Yarrowia lipolytica: one gene and its partner. The protein of the gene in region 2 interacts with the protein of the main gene of each other region in a pairwise test. Links are inferred from orthologs where the notes say so. Each region holds a gene or a part of one and is shown on either strand. Other genes may lie near its edges. The genes, in order: YALI1_B00273g and YALI1_C17609g.

Region 1 (4,465 bases), on a different chromosome or scaffold from region 2:
TCTTGTGACTCTTCAGCCGTCACCCTCAAGAACGGTATCGAGAGCATGCTCATGCACTACGTCGAGGAGGTGACTGGTGTCGAGCAGTTCCTCGATCCCGAGGAGAAGGTTTCTCTCGAGGAGTTTGAGAAGCTCGAGAAGCGACTGGCTGAGGAGAAGGGCGAGGAGGTGCCTCCCTCCCTCTAAGAAGTAGGTGCGAAGCGGCTGACTTCTTTTGGAGGATCACTGCGGCCACCTAACCGAATGAAAGCGAGACGATTGGTGTCACTTTGCTGAGTCCCTCGTTAACTATGCGCACACAGCAGATAGACCATAAGTGTATATAATAGATTGAATGATTAATGGGTGAGAGGCGTGTAGTTTGTCATTGACGATGGCAGTAGAGAGGGCAAGTCGAGGGAAGGAGAAGTGTCGACTGGCAAAAAGCTTGAGATTGGAGTACAGTACCGACGAATGTCTAGCGTTCAATCAAACACCTCTTGGTACTACTGGCTGGTCGTGACTGGAGTGACAGTATCTTGTGATCCAACCAGAGATATGGACAAACTGTCGGTGATAATTCTCTTCAGGGAAGCCCTGAAGACCATCTACAACTCGAAAACACCGCGATCTGATTGTTTCAGCTCAGACGTATGACTTGCAAGAACTGCTGGAGAAGGCATGACACAGCAATACATCTCTGCGGTCACATGACCAATCATTAAAAATGCTCATAAAATAAATAAATATGGGAGGTATGCGAGCTAGTGGAGGAATGGTGCCCCGGGTAGCCAAGGCTACGCTTCATTGGAACACTCGCCGCACTCGGCTACCAAATCCTCTTGCTCACCATATCAAACCTGCTGACATTCTGCAGCTCCACCACCTTCTTCTTGTGCTGCTTCTCCTTCTTTTCCTCCCCGTCGCTGTACAGACCCTGCTGCATATCGTCCGTCAGCTCAATCACGCCCTGTCCCCCCCTCGTCTTTCCAGGCAGATAATCGTCCTTGATTGACTCAGATCTCTTCTTTTCCATCTCGTCAAACGTTCGCTTCTGTCGTCTTCTCTTGCTGTGACTGTACCTCAACAAGGTGAGGCCCAGAAACAACTTGAAGATGACCAGTACGGCAAACACAAGCGCAAACACCAGAATCATCGTCAGCAGATACGTCACATAGTAAATGTCGAATTTCGCCCACACAGGGATAATGTTGGAAGAAAACGACACCAGAGGCGATGTGCCGTTGTACAACGAGCTGAAAAACGTCCTTGTGGCCTGGGCAATCTCAGAAACGGACACGTTGTTGACGAACTTTGTGTCCACCTGTGCCAATGTCTCTCTCAGTTGGGGACTGACTGTAGGCGTTCCCTTGACAAAACGCGACTCTCCAGACTCGAAAAGAATCTGGTAGCTCTGGTAGCACATGCGCATGAAGACGCACGCCAGAGCCGTGGTAGGAAGGCCCATTCGTCGAGTAATGAGCTGGTCATTGAATGCATGCTCGTGATAGTCCTGAGTGAGCACGTCCAGAAACTTGCGGTACACTCTGGGACGGAAATTGTTGAATTTCGCAATGTACGAGTGCTTGAGCCAGTCGACAGCGACTTCGGAGCCCAGCACCACTAGAGCAGGACCCAGCAGAGCCCCTAGCCATCGATTCCAGCCCGACCACGACGATGGAACGAGACCCGTATTGGAGACCTCGACCACGTTCCGGAGTCCGATGGACACCAGTAGCACCCACAACTGGAACCGCTCGGTGATATCTGCACAGGTGAGCTGGAACAGAGACTCGCGTTCAAACCGCTTAAAAACGGTCGACTTGACCTCGTTGAACTGGTTGGACAACAGCAGGGTCAGCAGCGCGTTGGAGTACGAGTTGACGGCCACGTTGAGGGTCACAATCTGGTACAGCAGCACCCCTGAATGCACAGCCGAGTAAGCCATGTACAGACCCATGTATGTCGCGAGTCGCTGGTAGTTGTTGAGGGTGCCTGCGGAAAAGAGCGACTCCAGCACATCCAGACCCCAAGCCGCACACAGTTTGTCTGTGATTTCCAGCACGTTGAACATGACGTAGAGCTTCATGGCGTTCTGGCCTCTGATGTTGTGGTAGAGCTTGGAGGTGTCAATGAGCAGCAGGAAGGTCATTGTCGAAATGACAACCACAGCCTTGATGATGTCGCTCATGTTGGTCATGGTCACGTGGCGGGTCGACCGACGTTTGGCTATGCCCCATAGTACTGAGGCCACCTTGAGAGGCATGATTGTGACCGTGTAGAGGAAGGAGTCGAGGCAAGTGAGAAATCCAAAGGCCATGATCATCTCCAGATTCAGCGGCACCTTGATAAGCGACAGCAGGTGCTCATTTTTCTCCTCGGTGTACGGCTGTTCGCCCTGGAGGTGCACCTGGAGATAGTCCCATAATGAGCGTGGAACCGGCGGGTTTTCGGGCCGTTCAAACCCCTCAAAGTCTGAAAACGACAGCCGCGGACGCGACGGAGACGACAGAGACCGCCGCGGACGTATTCGGTCGCTTTTCGCCGACGTGTTGGTTCGCCTTCGCATTGTGGGGGATTTTGCAGTGAATAGGAGATGACATCAAATTAAAGTTTCCATCTGCCTGACGTCAATAGTGAGAGGGAAATACATGGGTGGATGTGGGCGGTAATTGGTGGGGATTAGAGAGTAAAAAGCTGAATGTGGACGTTATAAGACGTTGAATTAGTCAGCAGCTTCATGTTTGAAACTTTTCTGATCAAAATTACAAATCTACACCGGATTAATACTTTGTGCTAAAAACTTCTCCAGAAACCGCAATATTGGTCGAAATCGAATTCTGAAAGTGGCAATCTGATGTGCTGACCAAGCAAGGTCGTTTTGTGTATTGAGATATCTCCCTAGTTCTCTACATGGTCCTCCAGTTGTCCCCCCGTCTCTTGTCGTATTAACGTACGTCTGGCTGCAATGCGGGTCACTGGTCTCTGTTGCAGACCATTTAAACTCAGCATCTTGACCACCTAGCAAGGCAGACGACAGCAACACGATTGAGAGTGGCGGTAAAAAAAAACCGCAAAAATCGGAAAAAAATCGAGAAAATCACGAAACCGCCGATAATCACATCCACGACGGCAACCAAACGACCGCAATTTTTCAAACGGCTTCAAATACACCCCATTTGACGCGTAATCACACCACCCACAACAACCCCCACACATTCATGTTGCAACTACGCGAGGAAATCGAAAAGCTACGAACTCGGTTTGGAAACACGGGGTCTGAGCCGCCAAACCTGCAGCTTTCTGCACTCATCACGATCGCCGTGATCGAGGCTCTGTCGGCGAAGAAAACCGACATCCAGACCTTCAAGTACGCGTCGCGATACCTCACCCCCGAGGTGTACGACGAGCTGGTTGGCGAACGCACTTACGAACACATCTGCGGGTACCCTCCGTGCGGACTGGTGCCCAAGTCTGCGTCGGGCAAAAACAAGATTCTCGGCACGCTGGCCCAGAACCAAAAGTTTGACGTGCCGTGGGCGTATCTGCGGACCTTTTGCAGCAAGCAGCACTACCAGGCGAGCCAGTTTTATCGTGCACAGCTGTCGTCGGACCCTCTGGACCTGCGAGGCAGCATCTGGGGCGACTATGGCTCGTGCAAACAGTACGAGGGCAGCATCATCCTGCTGGAGGAACTGACGTCGGACGCCCAGCAGGGCAAATCCATGGCTGAGATTGTGGAGGGGTTCACGCAGATGTCGCTCAAGGACCCCGAGCTCGCTAGGATGAACATTCCTGCCAACGGAGACGAGATCACCAAGCTGGGCAAGGAGATCCAGGAGATTTCGCTGAGAGAGCGCGAGGACGACGAGAATGACGTGGAGCCAGACTACGAGTCGTTGGAGGACATGAGTAGTAAGGATAAGGCCAGTGCTATTGAGGGCTATAAGCCGAGAATCCAGTGGAGATAGCGAGACGGATTGAGGAATCTATCATGACAGGTTGAGGCAACGTCGACATCAAGTTGTGGATTCCTGACGATAACATGAGACGGGAATCGCAACAAGATCTGAAACAGTGACAGCTGGGTTTTAGACTGGATTCGGCAACACTGACAGGTGCACCACATGTTCGACTAGAACGCCCAGCTCCACATAGCGGCTTAGACATACGCCACAGCAGGAGACAGTGGAACATTGCCCACCACTGTCACACTCTCCGAGGTGGTATAATTTCTAGTGTCTGAATGGGTGACTCTCTGGAGTTAGGTCTCCTCTCTATCTTGCGCTGTGATCTCCCAGAGTATCATCTTCTGATCTGTCAGGCTTCCAATACCGTCTCCATGAACAGGCGAGTGGTCTCATTGCAAAGTGCAGGAATTCGGCCTCCACGCTCGTCTCCTATTTATATGGCTACTAGCTGATATGGAACAAATGTATATTACGATGAGGTATAAACAAAAAAGCGACGGGTTCAGGAGTGAGTA
Region 2 (4,433 bases):
ATGCAACTGATCAAAAGCAACGCCATCCGACTGAAACAGGAGGCCAAACAACGCATGGCCGAGATTCAACACGAGCTGCAGTATGTGGCGGGTATGCACTGACGGCACTGGCTGCTCCGCTGCTCCAACAGGGTTCAGTTGCGCATCGATCCAGGGTTACATGGTTTGTATCTTGCAGCGTGGGGGTCAAGAGATAGGGAGGAAGGGAAGGAGAAAGACACGTTGGAAATGACAGTCGGAACAGACGTGGAACGTGAGGTTGCTTGGACGATACGATAACGCCCTGTACAATCTATGGTCTTCAGACGCTCCATGGAAACATCTTACCCGTACCATTCATCTCTTCTGTTCTAGAACCATGTGTGTTATGAAATCTGACTTTGCAGGGTCGGAGTCAAACACCGCTTTCATCTTGGTTAAGCGAGTGGATTGTTTTACGAGATCGACGGTCTGAGATGGAGCTTGGCGCTAGTTTCAGCTTGCACGATCTCCACATGGTTTCAAACCGTGTTGCCATCTGCAGTTCTGACTGCATAGATACAGACGCTGCCAAGGTCTAATGTCATAAATGTCATCTTATGATATGAAGTCAGGTGCTATTATATCATTGAACTTCAATAAAATGCATTATGCTAATATAAATATACGTGTTAACTTCATTCTTCTTTGTTGCGGTCGCGCCTGTGGTCCTTTTTGTCGTCATCATCACCTCCCAGGACTCATGTAGTCCACCGGCTCAGGGGTATCTCCTGCCCACTGAACAGGCTCATCATATAACGAACGGGACTTCTTCTTTTTGGGTCCCGGAGTAGCTAGAGGACTTCCAAGAGTCCTGGGAGGTGGCGGGGACTCGATATGCTCGTCTTCACTGTCGCTATCGAGTCCCAGACCCTCATCCACTCCATCATCACTCACAGGGGACTGAGGAGTGAGATTCAGCGACCATCTGGGAGACAAACTGCTGATATTTCGCTTGAAGTTGCGTCTCAGATGGCGTCTGAAGGACCCAAAGTCAGAGTTGTCTTCCGAGTCGTCTGTATTGAACATCAATCGTGATCTTCGAGATAACTCGGGACCGGTACCTCGAGTCAGAGCCACAAAGATGAGCACCACCAAAAGGATGAGACCCTGGAACATGGACATTCGTTTTTGAAAGACAAGATCATCGGCCAGCATGGCAAACCGTTGCGAAATGGCAGCCATGTTCTTGTCTGTTTGGCTCTTTTGCAGATCAAGCTCAAGGATGGCTCTATTGAGCTTCTGTTCTCGTTGTTGAGAGAACATGACAAGCTGTTGCAGCACGGTGGCATTGAAATGGAACAAAAAGTCGTCAATCTTGGAGTTTTGCTTCTTTTCAATCTTGTACAACAAGTCTCTGAGCACCTTGGATTGCTCCTCAACGTACTGGAGAGAGAGGGTTGCGTTAGACTCAAGTAGAGACAGACGTTTCATGATAGTCTTGTAGATTGACTCTTGAGTCGGTGGAGTTGTTGTGGAGTTGTTAGATTGGTTGTTGGTGGTGGTATCGGTGTTGTTATTGCTGTTGTTACGTTCAATCTTGCGGTAGAACTCATCCAAACGGCAGTATTCGTTGAGGCCCAGTTTGACCTTGTCCAGCGACAGTTTGGGGATGCATTCGCCCTTTTCGATGACGGTATGGTTCAGCGAAGGGTTGGACTTCTCAACCACATTCTCCTGGATCATCTTCTCTTCATGGAGCGTCTCCTCAGCCTTTTCAAACTGAGCCGTTTCTTCCTGAAGAGATTCGTCCAGCTTTTCGCCCGCGACAATGTCACCCTCTCCTCCACTGCGTTTCCATTCCTCCATCATGGTGGTTCCATGGACTCTGACCACAGATATGGGACAGTAGTACTCGTGTCCCCAGTGTGAGAGGAACTCGATCTTGACGTATCGCGCCCAGATCTGAGGAACGGTGATGTCAAAAGTCTGTAGATCTCGGATGTTGTCGGCTGTAAAGTCACCAAGCACTCTCCATTCTCCAGATGCCACGGGGTATCGATCGGCCACGCTGATTCGGATGTCTTTGAACATGGACGAGAAGAACTCGTAGTTGCCGACCACCACCTGGTCGACGAGAATGTCCTGGCACAGCTCGATGATCACATGTTTGCTGCCGGCCACACATTTGTTGAGTAGGTACGAGTCCTTGTTCTCCACGAGAATGGCCCCTGCTCCCTTGACATCTTTGTTGCTCTTGACGACCGTAGCTCCGCAGTCGAACGACGCGTAGTTGAACCGATCCTTGTAGGTCTTGCCCGGGTCGTCGGACGCCGCGAAGAGAAAGTCGATTTCGCCCGTGAACGGGTCCATTTCCGGCTCGCTGCCTCCACCACCGCCGTTACTGTGTCCGGGACCGCTTCCTGGCGTCGATCCAAGGTTCTGCCCGCTCTGCAACAGGTTGTGTATTCGCCACTCTTCGAACGATCGCAGCGTCGGGGCCGGGTGCGACGGCGTCGGTTGGCCCGCCTGAGACTCGCACATCACCAACCCCGCCGTGAGGACCAGTTTCCAGAGGTTCATTTGCGCTTTTTCAGAGGTCGGTGTTTTTTTTTCAATATGTCGACAGATATCACACTTCTGTAGGAAACTTAATTAGGGGGTGGTGGAGACTGGAGATTGGAAATTGGAGATTAGGGGGATTAGGAAGGACTCAATTGAGGAGAGAGTCGGACTATTGAGCCGTGGCAATCTCGATTAGGGAACGGATCTAGGAATATTTGAGCCCAAGTCTCGTGATCTGACGTTCACATCTGATACAACCATTGCGTCATATCTGCACCGCTCTACAGTGTTAGACTGAAGTTGGGTGCTGATTAATTGCGGGAGTCGATCTGGTTATGTAATCACGTTGGCAGAAGAAGAAATGCTAGTCTTGAGGGTTAGGAGGGATAGGAGGGACGACATGGTTGGAATTGTGGTGGTTTTTGAGTAACAAGACTCGAATTTCTTCGTTTTTTCTGCATATACATTCATTCCCGAAAGTCGGGCTCAAGCAGTTCATACCTAACAAAAATGTCAACAAAACCCAACGTACACAACTACAGTCAACTAAAGTGGAGCAGCAAATTATTCAGAAAAAAAAAAAAAAAAAAGGTCAGTTTTCGACAGTTGAAGACAGGTGGGGTTTGGAGAACTTTTAATCTGGACATTTATTGTCTAAATATGAAAGCGAATCTACAATTTTATGGAAATTTTACCTTTGGAATGCTGCGTTTTCTTGTATAGTGGACTACAGACAACAATTCAATCTCATACTACCAATCGAGCTCACAAAGCCCTGGGAACTTTTGAAAATGCAATAATGGTCATTATTAAGTATGTTTATCAAGCTCTTCACTTGGTGTGGTCCGTTTGTTTCCCATTTGAGAGGAGTTTTTCTTTCTTCTTTTTCAATTACAGTAAATACAGTAGCATTAGAGACATTGACATGGACTGGACCGCGGTAAAAGATTCGAAACAAAGACAACAAGTCTCTTAATCATTTAAAAAGAGCTATTATACCTAATAACTGTAAAGATCTGTCTAGTCTTCGTATTAGATAGGGACTTCTCTGTTCTGTTCTGTTCTGTTAGCCAGATATTTTCAGTCATAGACCCAGCTAGACTTGTTTGAACAGAATGAGTCCTCTCTTTGAGGATGTGATAGTGATTCACCAAAACTAAATGACTCTTACGCTTGCTTGTTGCCAAATTGGAATGGGCGAGAGAACCGCTTCCGACTAAAATGCGGTTTACAAAATGGCCAGGTTTCGTCTGGAGAGGGTCTTTGGGGCACGGTTTAGAGGTCTAGGGGGTTTGTTTCTGTCGCAGTTTTCATTATGAGAACTTCATCAGCTGGTTTCCTTGGCTAAATCTTTCTTATCGTCATTTCATGTATCTGGAACCGCTTGACTACATACAGTCTACGTAGATCCATGTCTGTAAACCGATACTGGCAAAGTATACCACTTGGAAACGTATCCAAAGGGATATAATCAAGCCGTGCAAACGGATCTCTCCGTGTTTCTTTAGTGTGAGTGCTCCATATCTTCTTTGTATGATCATTGGCAGACCTCCGTGCTCAAAATACACGAATGTATAAACGGAACTTGTGGAGAAACGACTCTATGGCATATAGATAAACTCCCCGCTTTTTAAGGGGAAAAGACAGGAAAGCCAGAGGTTTTCAGCATCTTTTTGAGGCAGTTGCTAAGCCGCGGTAAGAGGTTTCTTGTCTAGAGCTGTATTAGCTATCATGAAGCCCAGGTTTCTGTAGAAGCGGCGTATTCTTCACTTTTAGCGCGACGCAGAAGGCAGGGCTAATAGCATAGTCAAAGTAGCCGAACAGGTTGTATCGTCTGTCCTCACAGCTTGATGTTCGTTCGATACCCTAACAAAGTTGTCTATTAAAATTGCCCCTCCAAAGGACTGGAT

The links.
Region 1: the proteins of YALI1_C17609g (region 2) and YALI1_B00273g interact in binary tests that used the Saccharomyces cerevisiae proteins (3 or more experiments, as listed by UniProt). The link is inferred for Yarrowia lipolytica from reciprocal best matches to the Saccharomyces cerevisiae genes SLP1 and EMP65.

What each region holds. Positions count from the first base shown.
Region 1 is NC_090771.1:24,828-29,292, forward strand, and holds YALI1_B00273g (uncharacterized protein), read right to left. Parts: upstream 2,549-4,465; coding exon 809-2,548; downstream 1-808. Other genes in the region: YALI1_B00242g (uncharacterized protein), read left to right, coding at 1-186; YALI1_B00280g (uncharacterized protein), read left to right, coding at 3,201-3,950. UniProt on the Saccharomyces cerevisiae protein: May be involved in membrane protein folding.
Region 2 is NC_090772.1:1,758,379-1,762,811, forward strand, and holds YALI1_C17609g (uncharacterized protein), read right to left. Parts: upstream 2,542-4,433; coding exon 706-2,541; downstream 1-705. Other genes in the region: YALI1_C17580g (uncharacterized protein), read left to right, coding at 1-102. UniProt on the Saccharomyces cerevisiae protein: May be involved in membrane protein folding. Required for localization of MPS3 to the nuclear envelope.